Zea mays: one gene and its partner. The protein of the gene in region 2 binds, or shares a complex with, the protein of the main gene of each other region. Links are inferred from orthologs where the notes say so. Each region holds a gene or a part of one and is shown on either strand. Other genes may lie near its edges.

Evidence for each region. The genes of interacting proteins can lie anywhere in the genome.
Region 1: the proteins of Acyl carrier protein 1, mitochondrial (region 2) and NADH ubiquinone oxidoreductase B22-like subunit are in contact, whole or in part, in a cryo-EM structure (PDB 8BEH), measured with the Arabidopsis thaliana proteins. The link is inferred for Zea mays from reciprocal best matches to the Arabidopsis thaliana genes MTACP-1 and CIB22. Residues at the interface, in NP_181990.1 of Arabidopsis thaliana: Asp78, Ser79, Leu80, Asp81, Val83, Glu84, Val86, Met87, Glu90, Glu91, Lys94, Leu95, Glu96, Ile97, Asp99, Lys100, Ala102, Asp103, His118, Met120; in NP_567970.1 of Arabidopsis thaliana: Glu18, Arg21, Ile22, Tyr24, Arg25, Arg26, Leu28, Lys29, Leu32, Arg38, Phe41, Arg49, Phe52, Asn53, Tyr84, Ile85, Val86, Pro87, Trp88, Ala89.

What each region holds. Positions count from the first base shown.
Region 1 is NC_050100.1:62,643,683-62,654,412, forward strand, and holds NADH ubiquinone oxidoreductase B22-like subunit, read right to left. Parts: upstream 5,611-10,730; 5' UTR 5,520-5,610; coding exon 5,394-5,519; intron 5,316-5,393; coding exon 5,274-5,315; intron 5,167-5,273; coding exon 5,085-5,166; intron 4,695-5,084; coding exon 4,639-4,694; intron 3,934-4,638; coding exon 3,895-3,933; 3' UTR 3,516-3,894; downstream 1-3,515. Other genes in the region: uncharacterized, read left to right, coding at 37-136, 216-289, 776-880, 965-1,012. UniProt on the Arabidopsis thaliana protein: Accessory subunit of the mitochondrial membrane respiratory chain NADH dehydrogenase (Complex I), that is believed to be not involved in catalysis. Complex I functions in the transfer of electrons from NADH to the respiratory chain.
Region 2 is NC_050102.1:20,659,574-20,669,244, reverse strand, and holds Acyl carrier protein 1, mitochondrial, read right to left. Parts: upstream 5,673-9,671; 5' UTR 5,580-5,672; coding exon 5,355-5,579; intron 5,264-5,354; coding exon 5,087-5,263; 3' UTR 4,554-5,086; downstream 1-4,553. UniProt on the Arabidopsis thaliana protein: Carrier of the growing fatty acid chain in fatty acid biosynthesis. May be involved in the synthesis of short and medium chain fatty acids.

The DNA.
Region 1 (10,730 bases), on a different chromosome or scaffold from region 2:
GGAATAGCATATTGACAGACTTTATTGTCCTTGCAGACACATAGGATAAAGAAGTTTGTTTTGCATACAAACTTCCCTGGCCACTCAGATTTCAATTCATATAAGAAATGCAACTTTGTTATATACGACGCTGAAGGTCTGAACTACTTGTAATAAAAAAATAGTTTGCTGTGATGGAATAATCCAATCCAATCATCCATCTGCTCTTTTCTCAGCTGAAGGTACATGTCAGCCTAATAATGCCTCAAAAAATTGCATAACACCTAGTACAAAATGGGAACAAGTCAAGGTATGGCATTCTACATGACTTATTAACACTGTTGATGGTACCACTGGTAGTCCTTGATGTGTTATTTGCCTTCAGAATGCCGTTTGTTTTTTGCCATGTAGTTCTAAAATTATCATCTTTGCTTTGAAATGCCTTATGCTACAATTTTTGCACCCCTTTTTCATCTTATTTCGTTGGCTTCATGGATTACTTTCATGAATCCTTTATATCCTTCTTAAATAGTGAATGTTAAACTTATGACATAATAATGATATACTAGGTTTTATTTTGCATAGTTGGGCTGTTAGCATAATCACACTAATGTTCTTGCACTAAGAATGTCAGCTTTGCCTTTGCTTTTTCTAGAGCACTTACCTTTTAAGTAGATATTTGTCTAATCTGTATTATCAACCTAGCAACGCTTCAAGTGCCGGTATGCTATCTTATTGCGTGCCATCTGTTATATTTTTCTGTTCTTTTAACAACCCTTTGGTATTACTATATTAGGAGATCCTCGGTGACTGTGGCCGAGCTGCAATCCAGACACAAGGCTCCATGAACAATCCATTTGGATCAACTTTTGTATATGGTTATCAGAATATCGCTTTCGAGGTGGGTGTTATTAGATCACACTCCAAATCTGTGTCCCCCTGTGTATATCAGATGTGACATCGTGTTATTTTTATGGGTCAATAGGTGATGAAAAACGGATATATTGCAACTGTCACCCTCTTCCAATCATGAGGTACGCAATGTGGCTTTTGCCCATAATATGCACATCTCCAGAGCACGGAGCATGGACTAAGTTAACTGTCGAAGTCTTCCATTTTGACAGTGTGCCACTACATGTGCTGCTGCTCTGAGCTCTGGCTGCAACAATGATGGTTAACCTGCAGAAAGGAAGTATGCCGTACTTTTGTGCTTCAGCAGCAGCAATTTCGAGTCGAAGCCAACTCTATGGGGCCTGGTGACGGTGCTTGGTTTATGGAATGGGATGCAGCTGCGCAGTCGATATGGATCAGCACCGTGACTTGTATTTGTGCTGTACATCCCGGCCGTTGTACATGAACTAACTGTACCCTGTGACCTCACCTTGTGTACATAAATGGTCTTTATTTATTGGAAAAGAAAATGTACATACTGCCATGTGGTCGCCTAATGGAACTGTGCTAGCTAAACATCTCATGTGGGTACTGATATGATTTGTCCAGTAGTTTGATATTGGTTCCAGTCTTTCTATCGTTGGTGGACTCGAGTGGAGGGCAATGTTGATTTTTGGTTCAACTTTTTTCTAACCAACTTTTATAAGAATCTAGTTGTAGAGAAAATATGGCTGTGAGAAAAATCTGAGTATTGTGGAGATTACGTGCTAGGGAAGATAAAGTGGTCCAAAGGGTTCAGGATATAGAAAGCGACGGTTTTCTGTATTCACGTTAATTTTGGATGGGTTTTACCAAAACAATTATAAACGGGCTGAAAAGTTGGGGTATTTGGGTCTGCAATAGCTTTTGGTGGCTAGAAACTAAAAAAAGCCCAAACAAACAGACTACAAAGGGTGTGTTTACAAAGGGTTGCTGCAAGCGACTCCAAGACTCCAAATTGACGACGCTACGGACTACAAAGGGTGTGTTTGGTTAAGACTAGGGTTGGATGAAATACTCGTGACTCGTTGGTTCATTCGGTTCATGGTCAGCTCGAATCGGTTTGTTTGAATTTTTTTATGAGCTGAGTTGACATCCTAGCTTGGTTCCTTAACGAGCAGCTCGTTTTGTTAACAAGCCAGCTTAACGAGCAGCTCGTTTTGTTAACAAGCCAGCTCGTGAGCTAAACGAACTATCACATTTCATCAAAACAAAGATATATACATATCATACATAACTATTGATGAACATGTTATATGTATGTGGTGTTTATGACATATGAGTTAAACTAATAATTGATGAACTATGTCTATGTGTTAAATTGATCTATGCAAATATAACTGTGGGTTAAACTGATGTGCATGTGTGTGAATTGATGAGTGATAAGTTATGTTATTTTGGTGTTACATTGACATGGTTTGTGAATCTGGATATAATTATTATTTTCTATTGTTAAATACAATTTAAAATTAACTAAAAATTGATTATTATATACGTATTGTTTTTGTACTCTGGTTCGCGAGCTAAACGAGTCGAGCTGACTCTGTGACTCATTAGATTAACGAGCCGAGCCAACTCTTTAGCTTAACGAGCCAGCTTGAACTCAGACAAGCTGACTCGATATCCAGCCTTAAGACTATCTCCAACAGTTTATATATTATTATTTTTATATTCAAACTTTATTTTATGAACAGTACGATCTACCATGTAAAAAGTGTAAAACAATATTTTACATAACCATATAGATAAACTTCTGGACACGGTCTAATACTCTTTTAGATTCCAAGATAGTAATGGTTTTAGCTCTTAATATTTATGTCTACATTTAAATGAATGATAATAAATATAGACACAGATAAAAACACATAAATCAAGTATTATATGAAATCCACTAATCCTTTAAAACAAATTTTATTTTGAGCAAAAATACATAAATCAAGTATTATATAAATTCACTAATCTTTTAAAACAAATTTTATTTTGGGACAGAGAGATTACCATCTTATATACATATTCCCTCCATTTCTGTTACATGTCGGCGATGTCGCATCAAATTTATTTGGTCTAATAAAAAATCAAATTTATTTGGTCTAATAAAAAATCCTTTTGGACTGTGCCAATGATGTTTTTAAAAAAAACATAGTTTATAATACTATACTTTATAATTGTTATAACAATGCTATAGTTTTGTACAGCTTAAAAAACTAGAAACAATATTTAGATATAAGACCGTGTCCGGTTCACACATATTGTTACCATAAACAATGTTTTACATTGTAGATTACGTTGTTTATAGAGAAAAATTTAAATATGGAGATGATGATGGGTAATCTACTGAAGATAGTCTAACATTGCAAACCGTGGTATTTAAGCAAAAGCTAACCATACCATAAAATTTTTATATTGTAATGGAGTTTACAATACTCCAAAAAAAATGGTATCAAGAATTCCATACCATGAATTTGAAAACATAGTTTTTAAGAATACAACCAAACACCTTATAACATAAAACCAAACACCTTATAACATAAAATACTCCAGTATTCATATAAATCATGGTATTGTTTAGAAATTATGAGAATACTTCTAAACAGGTCCTTATAGTTCCACAGCATATGAATTATATATTATGAATCATATATTATGAAAGTATTTTTCATAGTAAATCTAAAAACATAAATCTTATGTCATGAATCTATATACTTTCTCTAGAAAAACGTGAAAACGCAGAAAAACCAAAGAAAAAAACTGAGATGCCGGCGGTCAGTTTAAACTGCACGACAAAGATAGTACAGTTCCATTTTATGACAGGAAACATGACTTCAATATGCACTAGATGAAGAGCACATGATTATCAGAACAAGCAAATGAGAAGCATGGATGGAGTCCAGTAATTTCCATTCTTATTTCTCGTACAACAACTCGATTAAACAGGAAGTGATTTGGAACTGTGGAAGTTCTGCCCCCCGCTTGCAGGACTCTTGTTTACTGGTCCTCCTTGCCATAATTGTAGATGATCTCGATCTACAAGGCACAATTGCCATTAGTACAACATTTTGGTGTACAGAATCTTGCTACATGTACCTGAAGATAGTTCAGCAAAGCTAAACAAGATAATGCCGCCATAAAAAACAAGGTTGTTTTGTTAACTCTATAAGATACTCTGTAGCATCCAAATAGAGGAAACGGTGCTATGAAAAACGAACTTGGCGAGCAAATCAGTGTGTGTGGGAGGGGGGACGGGGTAGGGTAATGTGGCCATAGAAGATGAAGTCATTTTGTAAACTTTAAGCCAATAATATGATACTATGGCAGCAGAGATGTTTGGCATGGTTCACCCCATCACGTCCAAGTAGAGGATACTCGGTTATGAAATAACTGTAAAAGCAACTACATTTGCGTAAGAATTGGTAAAAGTTCCTGCGATGAATTTATAATTTTGGCCAAAGCACTGCAACTAAAAAAACCCGCATTCCAAAGGGGCCTTAAATAAAAACTCTAGCTCGCTCATCCATTGAGAAATTACAGATGAAACCTTAAGTACTGCTACATCCCTTGCGTTCAAACTAAGTTAGCTTAAACTAGGAACAGTGTACTTTTTTAAGCGATCACAGGAGACAGAGAAGCAAAATATTATGAACGGTAAGGATTGTGGCATTGTAGTGAATCAAATTAGCATAACACAAATATATTACATCGCATAAAGAGTGGTGTAAGCTGTGGTCTTACCCCTTGAGGTGGAGGGGGGTTTCTTGTGAATTTAGTGCCGCCTGGTGCCCATGGAACTGCAGAGATAAGAAGAGGCATATAAAGATTAGGCTTTAGGGTTCCAGCAGAGACTTGCCTCGCACATTTGGTAGTTCATACACACTAGCACAATCATTCTATATAAGATTAAAACTTTGACGACAATCAACTACAAATAACTTTTCACTTGCATCTCATCTCATCAAATAGGATTATAACCATCGGTGTTACTAGGGCTGAACAAACTAATACCCCTAGCAGGTATAAATCTATAAACTTCTGCAATAACTCTGAAAGGTTCACTATAAAGTAAATTTAATCCATATGCAATGGTCTATCCAAACAAAAGCGTTGCTGCCATTCGACATGATTTGATGCGAAACATTTCACTGGTCAGAAAGGATAAGGAGAACAAGAAAAAAGCTTACCAATGTAGGGATCGGGGTGCTGGAAGTTCCTGTACTGAGCCTCCGCATCGTCAATGAGCCTATCGACCACGTCCAGGTTATCCTGCACCACCAACCCCACGCGAAACCCAACATCATATAGAGCACCAGACAGAAGCAAAACGTGGGAGGCGAGGTCTGCGGAAAGGGATCGGCAGGAGGAGGCCTTACCACGTGTCGGTTGGCCTCGAACTTGTCCCGGAGATCCGACGCCTGCGCGGGAGAGGGAGCACGAGGTCAGATCGAGATCCAGATCAAGATCGAGAGGGAGGCGGAGGGGGAGGAACTGACGTCCTGGTAGAAGAGGTGGCGGTGGACGGCCCAGTTGAGCGTGTCCTTGAGCGCCCTGCGGTAGAGCAGGCGCACCCGCTCCTTCTGCGCCGCCCGCCGCGCCAGGTACCCCGCCGTCGACGCCATAGACCTCGCCGCCGCTCCTTTGTCCTTTCCTTTCCTTTTTCTCTTTCCTCTCGCTGCAGTAGTAGTCGGGTTGGGAGGTTGGGGGTCGGATTCGGACGCGGGGTCACGGCCTCTCAGCTGTCTATGGGCTGTTTGGGCTTCTAGCGCGCTAGGGCCGGCCCATTTTGCTTCCCGTTTTCTTCCCGGTCCACTTTATACACTCGTCTTTCTTCCCCCTCTCTGCGGTGGTGTGCACACACATCTTTTCTCTTTTCTTTTTTTCGGACTATTTCAACGTGCTTTTTAATAAAAAAAATTTTATATATAGTCCGTGTAGCGCGTGTGGAGTATGACGAAAGAAAAAGATTGTATAACCAACTGTGATGGAATATCGGTAGCGATTAGGCGAGAAATTAAGCCGGGGTATTAAAGTCCAACGTTTCACCTCTATTAGTCAAGCTGACCCTGCGCCATCAAAATGCTCCTTTTTTTTTGGTGTGTGTGTGTGAGTGTGACTGTGGTGGTGGTGTTCCCACAGCCAGCCAGCTTGCTACTTCAACATGCTACAGTGCTCTGGCTTTGGTGCTGTGAAGATAGCAAGTTCAAATTTCACAGCTCGTAGTTATTAACTAGGGCTGGATATCGAACTAGCTTGACTCGTCCGACCCTGAGCTTGGCTTTGGTGTTGTGAAGATTGGGTATTGTGAGGATTACAAGCAGTTCAGATTTCGCAGCTTGTAGTTGTAGTCAATGGCACATGCAGCGCACTTCTTTGAAATATGTGTGATGGGCAATAAGATGGAAGGCGCACTGCTAGCTACGGTTGAGTAGGAACTCTCTCTGAATTTATTATACTAGTTTAGAGAACAGTTTTTAGATGGTGATGGCAGCTGGGCAGATCCACATCAGCGAGGCCCTAGCAGCAAGCAGAGAGGCTCGTCGCAGGCGGTGAGGCTAGTAGGAGCACAAGCAAGGCCGGGATGTCGGAGGCGGCATGGCAGGGAGGAACACGGTGGCGTGGTGAGCGGACCAGGTCGGCGTGCGATCGGAGGTGAGAAGGGGGCTCTGCCAGCGATGACACGGGGCGGTTGGGGCTAGCGATATCGGCAGCGACTGCGCACAAACGAAGATGGCGGTAATAGCGGAGGACGAATAGTCTGGTACTCTGGTGGGTGCTCGCCTGCTCGGTGCGTGGAGGAGAAAAATGTGATGGGTACAAGCCTATTCGAAGAGGTAGGGATGGGCGAGGGGTCGAGGGCACGCATCAGCACGAAACGAAATCTGTATGTCCGTGAAGCACGGTCATGTGGGATAGAAAAATGGAGTGGATTGGACAAGAGACAGACGGTGGCCCACACGGTCGATTTGTGCGTTGGTTTCTCCGGATAGTTTTCCAATGACCTAGGGAGGAGGACTGTGACGTGTGGAGGACTGCGAGACGTGTCACGATACCGTCACCCGCGCATGCGAGAAACGCGGAGAACGCTTCAAAGCCTAGCTGCTTTTAACTAGAAGAGATACTAGGAGCTTTGAATATATATATATATAGTTCCTGACTTTTCAGGGACCTAATACGAAATCCGATATAAAGGTCACCTCCACACACAAATATATATAATTATATATATATATATATATTGTCGAATATTTGACGCATAAAAAATATTATACACTGTTTTGAAGTTTATAAGATAACAAGTGTAAAATATAGCCAAAAACACTTACTTATTATCTGATATTATTAAAACTATCTTCTAATATTTTGTGATACAAAGTCATCGCTTATATCACTGAGATCAATCTCATCCAATAACTTTTTCGATATGTAGATTCGGCAAGTCATTTAACCTATCTTGAGTTATTGTTGATCACAAATAGTTCAAAAAACATTTCAATTTTAAAAAGCTTCTCTCCACCCATGCACCATCATGTGTATATTAAATAATACTCTTATTGTATCAAAATAGAATTCGTTTTGTTTTTTAGTGGATTCATCATCATATAGTTGAATATAAACATAAAAATCAAGAGCTAAAACAAATACTATTTTAAAACGGGTGGAGTATTCGATAAGTAATTGAGGCATTACTTTAACAATCTAAACGAGACTTGTCGATAGCGCATCGATCTTTGCGTATTTGTGTCTAGAATAAATAAGTTTAACAAAAAAAATGGTAGCGGCTAGTAGTTAGGGGTTCTCTGTTTTTTGGACCCGATGCGACCGCACCCCGTCAGATACGGCCCTGTGTGTGTATATATTCCCACTGATGGACGGAAAAAACAGCACGTATAGTATCCCTTGTGATGAGGCGTGAGTTTGACATGGATGGATGGTTCCTGGATCCCTACTGCATGTAAGCAGATCGATGAGAGCTAGAGAAGGTCTACGGCCACACCGTACAAGAAGTTGTTAGGAGTTGACATATATTAGCTAGCCCTGCATGTGGCCACACGTACGGTGGTTGGAACAGTAACCAGCTAGCATGGCATCTCGACGAACCAGTGTGTGTGTGTGTGACAGTGTGTGTGTCCAAGGAGATCGATCATCACAGGGCTACGTTTCAGAGTTTGGCCCCGGGACCATGAGCCTGCGCAATGAAAGCTGAAGCTGAAGATGGAGAAGGAAAAGGAGAAGGAGAAGGAGAAGGAGCGGCACGAGAAAGACGAAGGCAGCGACAGGCGGCGAGCAGGGTTTTTATTAAGGGAAATTTGGATCCATACCATTAAAAGATCACCACTTTGGATCCATACCATTACTATCTCACTTACATGTGGGTTCACATGAGTCAATGACATGTGGGGTCCATGGTATATATCTAAAGTTTGGATCTTTTAATGGTATAGATCCAATTGTTCCTTTTATTAATGGCGCCCGCGGAAGACTGAAGAGGGGAGAGACGGATACTGGAGTGGAGTACGCACAGTAGTACTGGACACTGAAGAAAAATACTAGTGTACTACGCAGGAACACTGACACAAGCGCCTCTTCTGATGGTCCCAACGGGCCACGACCGTGTTTTTACGGTCAGTGAGTGAGCGTGACGGACGGGAACGACGACGGTCATCATCAGAAAGCGGTCGTCTCTCGGTGCATGAAGCAAAAAAACAAGCGGGCACCATTATACTTTTCAAAACAAAACAAAACAAAAAACAGAAAAGGCCGTCAACACAGCTGCTACTCGGAGGAGGAAGAAGAAGGAAGCTTTGCTCCTCGCACCCTGCGCGGCCACGATTTGCTTTGCTCCGCGACCGCGAGACAAAGCTGCTGGTGGAGACGCACCCGGCAGTCCGGCACCTCTGCTAGCCCGTCAGGTTCACCTAGGGTGTGGTTGGTTACGGAACAAATGAGGATGGAATAGAATGGTCACTGGGTTGAGATGGAATGATTCCTCGTATTGTTTGGTCGAAAGGATGAGATGATCCTTTTTTTTGTTAGAGGTATACCTGTCCTTTGTTTGGTTCGAGAATAGAGCACAAAAAAATGTTTGCAGTCATTGCCCCCATCTCATGATATGTTACAACTAATATTAAGTCCACAAAACACACATATTATTAATTCCACACAATACATAATAATATGTCCTAGCATTACACATAATATCAAGTTTAAGGCTTCCACAAAATCTACATGTTCAAGCAAACTCTGCTGACATACTTAGACCACATTTCATTGTTTGACGCGATTCGAGCAAAAGAACTGTCCAAGCCTATCTACTAACTGCCCTCACACTCCTGGGTACACATAAATCACAATTCATTGTTCGATGTGGTTCAAGCAAAAGAACCCTCCAAGCCTACCTACCAACTGCCCTCACACTCCTGGGAACTTTTCACTGACGAAATTGCGAGCCCAGATTAACTTGTGGTCGAATGGCAATTTGTTGAAGGCTCTAGCAATGTGAGGGTGCGCCACCAGATAATTGAAATAAAGAGATATGTGGGTCTGCTCAAAACCTGCAAAGTTTAGCAAATTGTTAAAAAATATGTTACAATAGTTTTCAGGTTTTAGGTTACAACAGTTTTTATTGGACAAACAGATCAATAGAAAACAGGCATGAGCCTTATGCAAGTGAATCAGGTAACCAAACTCTGAAGAACACATATCGCGGTGAAACCACCATGATGTCTTGAAAAGACTGCTGATGACAAAGCCTGGCATGTAGTTTCTACTCATTTGTCGGCGTTTCGAGACGGGGGTCCCTAAGCCGACGAGTGAATGTCGCCGCGTGCCCCAGCCCAGATGGGTCGAGCGCGAGGCCGAGCGCGAAGGGGGGAAAGAGAGGTGGCCGGAGATGGGCGTGAGAGAGGTGGAAATCCCACGACCTTCGTGTTCGTCCCGCGCCCTGGTCGGGTGCGCTTGCAGTAGGGGGTTACAAGCGTCCACGCGGGAGAGGGAGCGAGCGGTTTCAAGCGAGCGCCTGTCTCGTCCTCGTCCCCGCGCGGCCAACCCTCTCTAAGAGGGCCCTGGTCCTTCCTTTTATAGGCGTAAGGAGAGGATCCAGGTGTACAATGGGGGGTGTAGCAGAGTGCTATGTGTCTAGCAGAGGAGAGCTAGCGCCCTAAGTACATGCCGTTGTGGCAGCCGGAGAGATTTTGGCACCCAGCTGGTGTGATGTCGTGGCCGTCGGAGGAGCGATGGAGCCTGGCGGAGGGACAGCTGTCGGAGCGGTTGAGTCCTTGCTGACGTCCTCTTGCTTCCGTAAGGGGGCTGAGAGCCGTCGTCGTCACAGAGTATGTGGGGCGCCATCATTGCCTATCTGGCGGAGCGAGCCAGATGGGACGCCGGTCTTGTTCCCTGCGGCCCGAGTCAGCTCGGGGTAGGGTGATGATGGCGCCTCCTGTTGACGTGGCTGGTCTGCGCCCTAGGTTGGGCGATGTGGAAGCTCCTCCGAAGCCGAGGTCGAGTCCGAGCCCCTGGGTCGGGCGAGGTGGAGGCCGTCGGCTGAGGCCAGGGCGGAGTCCGAGCCCTGGGGTCGGGCGGAGCGGAGTTCGTCGTCTTCTGGGGCTGAGCCCAAGTCCGAGCCCTGGGTCGGGTAGAGCGGAGTTCGTCATCTTCCGGGACTTAGCCCGAGTCCGAGCCCTGGGTCGGGCGGAGCGGAGTTCGTCGTCTTCCGGGACTTAGCCCGAGTCCGAGCCCTGGGTCGGGCGCAGCGGAGTTCGCCGTCTTCCGGGACTTAGCCCGAGTCCGAGCCCTGGGTCGGGCGGAGCGGAGTTCGTCGTCTTCCGGGACTT
Region 2 (9,671 bases):
GGAGCCAGAACCAGTTATCTCTCTACATGCTCTGACAGGCATCAGATCAGAGGACACCATGCAGATTCAAGTAAAAATAAATGATAAATTGCTCACTGCATTACTGGATACAGGCTCCACACACAATTTTGTCAACCTCAACACAGCCTTGTCATTGCAATTGGAAGTCTGTTCAAGCCGAGGTCGGGTAGCTGTAGCAAATGGCGACAAGATCGACTGTCATGGCCTTGCCAACAGTCTCAGACTATGTGTGGGTCCAGATATTTTCACCATGGATGCTTATGCTATTCCACTGGATTCCTTTGACATCATCTTAGGGGTTCAGTTCCTGCGCACTCTTGGTCCCATCCTTTGGGACTTAGCCAACATGAGCATGGCGTTCTGGAAGAATGGTTACCAAGTTTTGTGGAAAGGGTTGAATTCTACTCGCAGCATGATGCACAGGCCACTTTCAGCACGTGTTTCAACATCAAACCCGACACCAATGATGGACTCCCTAGTCCAGCAATTTGATGATGTTTTCTCATCCCCAACGGGTCTCCCTCCAGCACGACCATGTGACCACCGCATCCACCTGATGCCAGGCACAGCACCAGTGGCGGTACGTCCTTATAGATACTCTCAGCTGTAGAAAGATGAACTGGAGGCGCAGTGTGCAGCAATGCTGAAACAGGGAACAATCCGACATAGTACATCAGCCTTCTCCGCTCCAGTCCTATTGGTTAAGAAGGCAGATAATTCTTGGCGCTTCTGCATTGACTACAGAGCCCTTAATGAGCGCACAGTGAAAGACAAGTACCCTATACCAGTAGTTGATGAGCTCCTTGATGAACTCAACGGGGCCAAGTTCTTCACCAAACTAGATCTGCGCTCAGGATACCATCAGGTACGGGTTCATTCGGAGGATATTCATAAGACAGCCTTTCGGACACACCACGGCCATTTTGAATTCCTGGTCATGCCATTTGGACTTTCAAATGCGCCAGCAACCTTCCAAGCCCTTATGAATGAAGTCCTGGGGTCGTACCTCCGTCGTTGTGTATTGGTATTTTTTGATGATATCCTCATCTACAGTGCATCCTGGTCTGAACACCTTCGACATGTCAAGGCGGTACTCGAAACATTGCGCAGTAACCACCTTTTTGTTAAACAGTCCAAGTGTTCCTTTGGAGCCACCTCAGTTGCTTACTTGGGTCATGTGATTTCAGCAGACGGGGTAGCCATGGACAATAGCAAAGTGGAAGCGGTCTCCTCATGGCCGGTTCCCCAATCAACACGTGGATTACGTGGCTTCTTGGGATTGGCAGGCTACTACAGAAAATTCATCAAAGATTTTGGGTCTATTGCAGCACCATTAACAGCACTACTAAAGAAAGAAGGTTTCAAGTGGGGTTTGGCTGCTGACACGGCATTCCAGGAACTCAAAAAGGCTCTTTCTACAGCCCCAGTGTTGCAGCTGCCCAACTTCGATCAAATGTTCATTGTGGACTGTGATGCTTCTGGTTCTAGATTTGGGGCGGTCCTGCATCAAGGATCTGGGCCCCTGGCATTCTTTAGTAGGCCGTTTGCAGCCCGTCATGTCAAGCTCGCAGCTTATGAACGTGAACTCATTGGTCTCGTTCAGGCAGTTCGTCACTGGCGATCATATCTCTGGGGTCGTCGATTCACAGTGCGCACAGATCACTTCAGTCTAAAATTCATGCTCGACCAGAGATTGTCAACAGTGCCTCAGCATCAGTGGATCAGCAAACTATTTGGGTTTGACTTTATCGTGGAATACAGAGCAGGCCGATTCAACACAGTGGCAGATGCCTTGTCACGAAGGCAGACTACCGACGGCATGATTGCCACGTTGTCTAGCCCCACCTTCCATTTGTATGAAGAGTTGCGTCAGGAGTGCACCTCTAACCAAGACTGTCAACGCATTTGTACTCAGATCAAAGACGGCACCCTCACTGAACCATGGCGAATGGTTGATGGGCTCATTCTGCATGGCCGACAAATCTTTGTGCCGCCAAATTCATCCCTGCTGCCGGCCATACTCGGTACAGCCCACTCGGCTGGTCATGGTGGAATCCAGAAAACATTACACCGACTACGGGCCGATTTTTTTGTTCCCAAAGATAGAGCCTTGGTAAGGGATTGGGTTAGGGCATGTTTAGTCTGCCAACAAAACAAAACTGAAGCTCTCCACCCAGCTGGGCTGCTGCAACCTCTTGAGGTACCCTCCCAGATTTGGTCAGACATATCCATGGACTTCATAGAAGGGCTTCCAAAGGTGCATGGCAAATCAGTTATCTTGACAATAGTAGATCGATTTTCCAAATACTCGCACTTCATTGCCTTAAGCCACCCCTATACAGCAACAAGTGTAGCCCGAGCTTTCTTTGAAGGGGTGGTTCGCCTTCACGGTTTTCCCCAGTCTATTGTCAGTGACCGTGACCCCGTCTTCACTGGGAACGTTTGGCGAGAACTGTTCAAACTATCAGGTGTCAAACTTCGGATGAGTACAGCCTTCCATCCACAAACAGATGGCCAATCAGAAGTTGTTAATAAAACCATCGCAATGTACCTCCGGTGCATCACAGGAGACCGTCCACGGGCATGGGTTGAGTGGCTACCATGGGCAGAATACTGCTACAACACAGCTTATCACTCAGCATTGCACACTACCCCATTTCGAGTGGTTTATGGCAGGGATCCTCCTCCAGTGCTTACCTACCAGCCGGGCTCAACAGCAAACCAGACAGTTGATGAAATGCTTAGTGAACGTGATCTATTCCTTAGTGAAGTTCGAGACAGGCTGCTGCAAGCACAAGAACATGCTCGGCGATTCTATGATGCACATCATCGAGACTTGGATTTCTCAGTGGACGACTGGGTTTGGCTCCGCCTGCTCAACCGTCAAGCTCAGTCCCTGGTGCGCCGACCCAAAGGCAAGTTGGGACCTCGCTATGCTGGACCCTTCCGTATCACGGAACGAATCGGCAAGGTCGCCTACCGCCTGGAACTCCCAACGGGAGCACGCATCCATGACGTCTTTCACGTTGGTCTCCTCAAACCATACAGAGGCGTCCCACCAGTGCTACCTCCTGCTCTTCCAGCAATGGAGAATGGTCGACTGCTGCCCTCACCAGAGAAGGTGCTCAAAGCAAGAATACAACGAGGTGTCTGGCATGTTCAGGTACAATGGAGTGGAACACAGCAGACAGAAGCTACTTGGGAGCCATTGCAACAGTTCACGTCTTCCTACCCCCATTTTCAGCTCGAGGACGAGCTGTTCTCGGAGAAGGGGAGAGATGTTATGGTGGGTAAAACATATGAAAGGCGGCCCAAGCAGCCCATAGGCCAGGCCACGCCATGAGATCAAGATTAAAGGGATAAGGATAAGTTTGTTTAGATTAGATATCAAAGGAGAAATAGTAGGAGTTTGTTAGAGAATAAATAGGGGCGGCAGCAGTTTATGTGCGCCTGTACTGGACTATATAAAGTCCTTAGTTTGTACCTAGGAGGATTAGCAAAGATCAATCTAAGAAGAGTATTGCTCCTTGCCACATTCTGTCTCAGCCGTGTGCCAGCACGGCTCCCTCTCGCCCTCAATCCTCAAGGCCTCGCCCTACTACCCACTCATACAACCTCAGAAGTCGAGATCATTACACAACTAGTCATGATTCGTCGTCGGCCAGACCGACTAGTTGAGCCCAGTCGGTCCTAGTCACCCTATATATTCCAGGACCAAACACTATGCATACAAATATACAATATAAACCTATTATACTATATAATAACATTAACAAAAAAGCAAGGACCAATACAACATGGCAAGAAGATTCAGCCCTTCAGGTTCAAGGACATATGCACATATAAACATACACCACAATCAGATTTTTATACCTTCAGGTTCAAGGGCAGTAGCACAACAACAACACCACACTAACTATAGTCTACTAGAGCAGCTCACCAGAGCATCAGGTGGCTAGGAGGGTTGCATAAAACAGAGCAGAGTATCAGAGGGGCAGTGACAGCAAAGCAGAGTAGAGACAGGAGAGGGCGAATCGCAGTGGGAGAAGACAGAGGAATTCCGAGGTTCGTGCCAAGTTCTGGTGCCTGCTGTGTCTGCCTTTTTATGAATCCTGGGAAGTGGTATGCTAACCCTACCAGGCCAAATTGGTAACCCACTAGTTGCCTCAGAGCCTAGTGGAGCAGACCCGCCCAAAGAGGGCAGGCAGTCAGGCACCCTGGTCATCCCCTTCATAATCAGATGACTAATCATGATTTATTGACGACTAGTCAGACGACCAGAAATCTAGTCAAGCTAACCTTGGTACCCATGGTAGAATTCAAGGGACTGGCTAGGCCAACTAATCACGATCAGTCGAAGATTGCTGGTAAAATTTTGCTTGTGTTAAACTGATAAAGAGAATATGATAAACCAACAGAATAAAGCCCTTCTCAATTCTGCTGAGAGCAAGACACTCAAAGTCTAAGTGAACCATTAACTATTTATGCAATGGTTTTCAATTTAACAGAATAAAATATTTTTGTCAAAAATGTTAGAACAAGAGGCCACACTTTCCTTTGATCTCTTCTCATGCAATAGGTGGAATACTTCCAACCAACAAAACCATAATGTTGACAAATAAAACAGACTCAAGCCTCATTAACAGGAACAAGAGTTGGACAACAAGAGGCCACACTAACAGCTGTCATGAACCCTGAGACTTTTAACCTACATCAATCCTTGTAAGCCGTTCTTATCAATTTAGGTTCCCAAAAGCACATGGAAAACAGATAAAATATCATGGGAAACTATCACGAACCCAATTCAAATAACCCAACAACGATCAGACTCAATCAACCAAACTAGTTTGTCAACCAGTATATATAGATATAACACGCACACAAAAACAACAATCTAACGCTGAAAATGTTAATGTTCCATTTCGACATCATCATCCGTCACCGTGAAGCAATGCAGAGCACCAGGAACAAGTTTTTCTGTGCCACTCCAGCAGATTATTTGCCCTCGGAAACAAAACCAAGCGAAGCCTCACCTCAACTCGCCTCCTCTCGGGCGAGCAGAGGCTCAGCCAGCCATGGGGTGGTTGGCGACGTACTCGATGGCCAGAGGGAGTGAGTCGATCTTGTCAGCCTCCATGTCTGGGATCTCGAGCTTGAACTCCTCCTCGATGGCCATGACCACCTCGACGGTGTCCAGGCTGTCGAGCCCCAGATCCTTCTCGAAGTGCGCCTCCGGGGTCACCTGCCGCCGCCCGCGGCCACAGCCTAGGGTTAGTAGGATTTGTGGGGCTCGACGCCATCGTGATGCGGGATTGGGTGGAGGGTTCGGTTACCTTGGAGGGGTCGATCTTGGGGTGGCTCTTGATGACGTCGAGGATCCGGTCGATGACTTCGTCGCGGGTGAGGTGCGCGTCGTGGGAGGACATGGGCCGCGCGAGCCACCGCCCCAGCGCGTGCGGGTGGGATGCACCTGTCCCAGCGGCGGCGAGGGCGAGCGAAGGGGAGGGGGAGAGGCGGATGCGGCGGAGGATCGCCGGACGGAGCGCTGCCGCCGCCATTTCTCGCTGTGGGTTCGGATTTTACTGGCCGGTACACAGAGGAGGGAACGAACTGACGCGTGACTCTGCAATCCCACCTCCTATCTCAGAGTCATCGGCTTCTTTACCCTCGTTATAGTTAAATATGGGTTTCGTCAAAATGACCCTCGTTCGAACGAGCTTCACTCATCATTAGCCCGTTGTACATACTTTGTTACGGTTGTTATATATCTGTAACTGCAATCAACCCTAATTAAGGATTTTAGTGATTAAATGACAAAATAGATAAGGTTTCTAACAAGTTGTTTATAGTGTATATTCAGTGTCAATAAAGATAAAAGGAGTAACAACTTGAATTGAGAAAGGAAAAAGAAAGTATCAAGGACAAATGAAATATATAAAGTGGTGCTTTGAAAAGTTTCCATGTGAAGATATGTAAAACTTTCTATATTTCTTGAGTCGCGTGATCTATTTCTTTCTGGGCAGTTTTCGCACAGGTAATGATGTTTACTATTGCTCAAGCCTCTAAATTCAAAAGCTCTTTTGAAAAGCAAATTCTTTGGACACTCTGTGGTTCGACTGATGTCAGGTTTGAGATACGAAGAGTCTTTATATTGAAAAGTAGCTGAAGTTGACTTCAATTGAGTTGAGCTTTTTTTCAGCTGAGTTGAACTTGACTTCAGCTGAGTTGAGCTTTTCTTCAGTTGAGTTGAACTTAACTTCAGCTGAGTTGAGCTTTTCTTTGATTGAGTTGAACTTGACTTCAGCTGAGTTGAACCTCGGGATAAAATCTCGTATCTTGTGCTCTTGCTTGGATCCGTGATTATGTTTTTCTAGCTCGCAAGATAGGCATATAGGTTTGTTCTTCGTGTGGATCTCGTGGTGGATTAACTCTTATATTTCTCATCATCCACACTTAGTTTATACCTTGTGTCGGGGACCATAATTAGGGGTACCCTCAAGACGCCTAATTCTCAGCTGGTAACCCCCATCAGCATAAAGCTGCAGAGGCCTGATGGGTGCGATTAAGTCAGGGATCAGTCCATACGAGTGACTCGATCACGCTTCACCCGAGCCTAGCCTCGGACTCGGGCAGCCGACCTCGAGGGACTTCCATCTCGCCCGAGGCCCCCCTTTTAACGGCGGACACATCTCCGGCTCGCCCGAGGCCTTGGCTTCGCTAAGAAGCAACCCTGACTAAATCGCCGCACCGACTGACCGAGTTGCAGGGGCATTTAACGCAAAGGTGGCCTGACACCTCTATCCTGACGCGCGCCCCCCGGCAGAGCCGAAGTGACCGCCGTCACTCCACTGCTCCACTGACCGGTCTGACAGAAGGACAGCGCCGCCTGCGCAACTCCGACTGCAGTGCCACTCGACAGAGTGAGTCTGACAGGCAGTCAGGCCTCGCCAGGGGCGCCATAGGGAACTCCGCTCCGCCCGACCCCAGGGCTCGGACTCGGGCTAAAACCCGGAAGACGGCGAACTCCGCTCCGCCCGACCCTAGGGCTCGGACTCGGGCTAAGACCCGGAAGACGGCGAACTCCGCTCCGCCCGACCCCAGGGCTCGGACTCGGGTTAAGACCCGGAAGACGATGAACTCCGCCTCGCCCGACCCCAGGGCTCGGACTCCGCCCTGGCCTATGCCGAACGACTTCCGCCTCGCCCGACCCAGGGGCTCGGACTCGGCCTCGGCAACGGAAGACAAATTCGACCCCAGCTTCGGAGGAGCCCCCACGTCGCCCGGCCTCGGGCGCGGGCCCGCCACGTCAACAGGGAGCGCCATCACCACTCTACCCCGAGCCGACTCGGGCCGCAGAGAACAAGACCGGTGTCCCATCTTACCAGCTCCGCCAGATAGGCAATGATGGCGCCTCCCAAGCTCTATGACGGCGGCGGCTCTCAGCTCTCTTACGGAAGCAGGTGGACGTCAGCAAGGACTCGACCGCTCCGACAGCTGTCCTTCCGCCAAGCTCCGTTGCTCCTCCGACAGCCACGACATCACGCCAGCAGGGTGCCAAGATCTCTCCGGCTGCCACATTGGCATGTACTTAGGGCGCTAGCTCTCCCTCCGCTAGACACGTAGCACTCTGCTACACCCCCCATTGTACACCTGGATCCTCTCCTTACGCCTATAAAAGGGAGGACCAGGGCCTTCTCAGAGAAGGTTGGCCGCGCGGGACCGAGGACGGGACAGGCGCTCTCTTGGGGCCGCTCGCTTCCCTCACCCGCGTGGACGCTTGTAACCCCCCTACTGCAAGCGCACCCGACCTGGGCGCGGGACGAACATGAAGGCCGCGGGACTTCCACCTCTCTCACGCCCGTCTCCGGCCACCTCGCTGAGAGCACCTAGAGGGGGGGGGTGAATAGGTGATCCTGTAAAACTTCAAAACTTGAGCCACAAAAACTTGTTAAGTGTTAGCACAAGTATGGCCAAGTGGCTAGAGAGGAGTCAAAACACAATAACCACAAGAAATCAATCACAGAGATGACACGGTGGTTATCCCGTGGTTCGGCCAAGTACAAAAACTTGCCTACTCCACGTTGTGGCGTCCCAACGGACGAGAGTTGCACTCAACTCCTCTCAAGTGATCCAATGATCAACTTGAATACCACGATGTTCTTGCTTTTCTTTTCTCAATCCCGTTTGCGAGGAATCTCCACAACTTGGAGCCTCTCGCCCTTACAAAAAATGTTCACAGAGAATCACAGAGCAAGGGAGGGAATGAGCAACGCACACAAGACCTCAAAAAATCAGAGCAACACGCACACAAGCAGCAATAAGAGCTCGCAACACAACTCAAAGAGTACACAACTCCACAAGAGCTCTATATGCTATCACAATGAATCGAATGCGCTAGATCAATGTCTTGGTGCTTAGAAAGGTTGTAGGAATGCTTGGTGTTCTCCTCCATGCGCCTAGGGGTCCCTTTTATAGCCCCAAGGCAGCTAGGAGCCGTTGAGAACACATCTGGAAGGCTATCCTTGCCTTCTGTCGTCGGGCGCACCGGACAGTCCGGTGCACACTGGACACTGTCCGGTGCCCGATTTGTTTCCATAAAACGCTCATCCGACCGTTGCTTTCTGATGCAGATCTGCGCACAGTTGGCGCACCGGACATGTCCGGTGCACACCGGACAGTCCGGTGTACCTTTCCGACCGTTGGCTCGGCCACGTGTCGCGCGCCGATCGCGCGGCCGACCGTTGGCCCGGCCGACCGTTGGCTCACCGGACAGTCCGGTGCACACCGGACAGTCCGGTGAATTTTAGCCGAAGTCGCCGGAGAAAAACCCGAGAGCGGCTGGTTTGCTCCACGCTGGTCTGGCGCACCGGACACTGTCCGGTGCACACCGGACAGTCCGGTGCCCCAGCCCGAAACAGCCTTTGGCTGTACACAGCCACTCTCCACTTCTTTTCTTTTCTTCTTCTTCCTGTTTCTAACACTTAGACAAGAATATTAGTACACAAAACCAATGTACTAAGGCTTAGAAACATACCTTAACTTGTGATTTGCACTTTGTTCATCCATGGGCATATTTTCACATTTAAGCACTTGTGTTTGCACTCAATCACCAAAATACTTAGAAATGGCCCAAAGGCACATTTCCCTTTCAATCTCCCCCTTTTTGGTGATTTATGCCAACACAACATAAAGCAACTAGAACAAGTGCAAAATCACTTAAAATAAAAACTCAAATTGGTTTTGATTCAATTTTGGCATATATGGATCATCCTTTGCCACCACTTGGTTTGTTTTTGAAATCAAACTCACATCTCTATTTCTATGTCAAACACACATGTTGAGGCATAAAGAGAGTCATTCCAAAAGAGATTGATCAAAGAGTTCAAAAACTCCCCCTATTTCCCATAATCAACACTTCTCCCCACAAGAAACCAACTTTTGACAATAGAGACAATAAGAGACAATAAAAGCTTTTGACAAAACAAAAACTCTATTCTACTATTTTCAAAATCTCTCAAGTGGTAGCTGATCCATTTATCACTTTGGCCTTTATTTTCTCCCCCTTTGGCATCAAGCACCAAAACGGGATCAACCTTGGCCTTTTAACCCCATTGCCTCACCAAAGTCTTCAATGAAGAGCAAATGGCAAT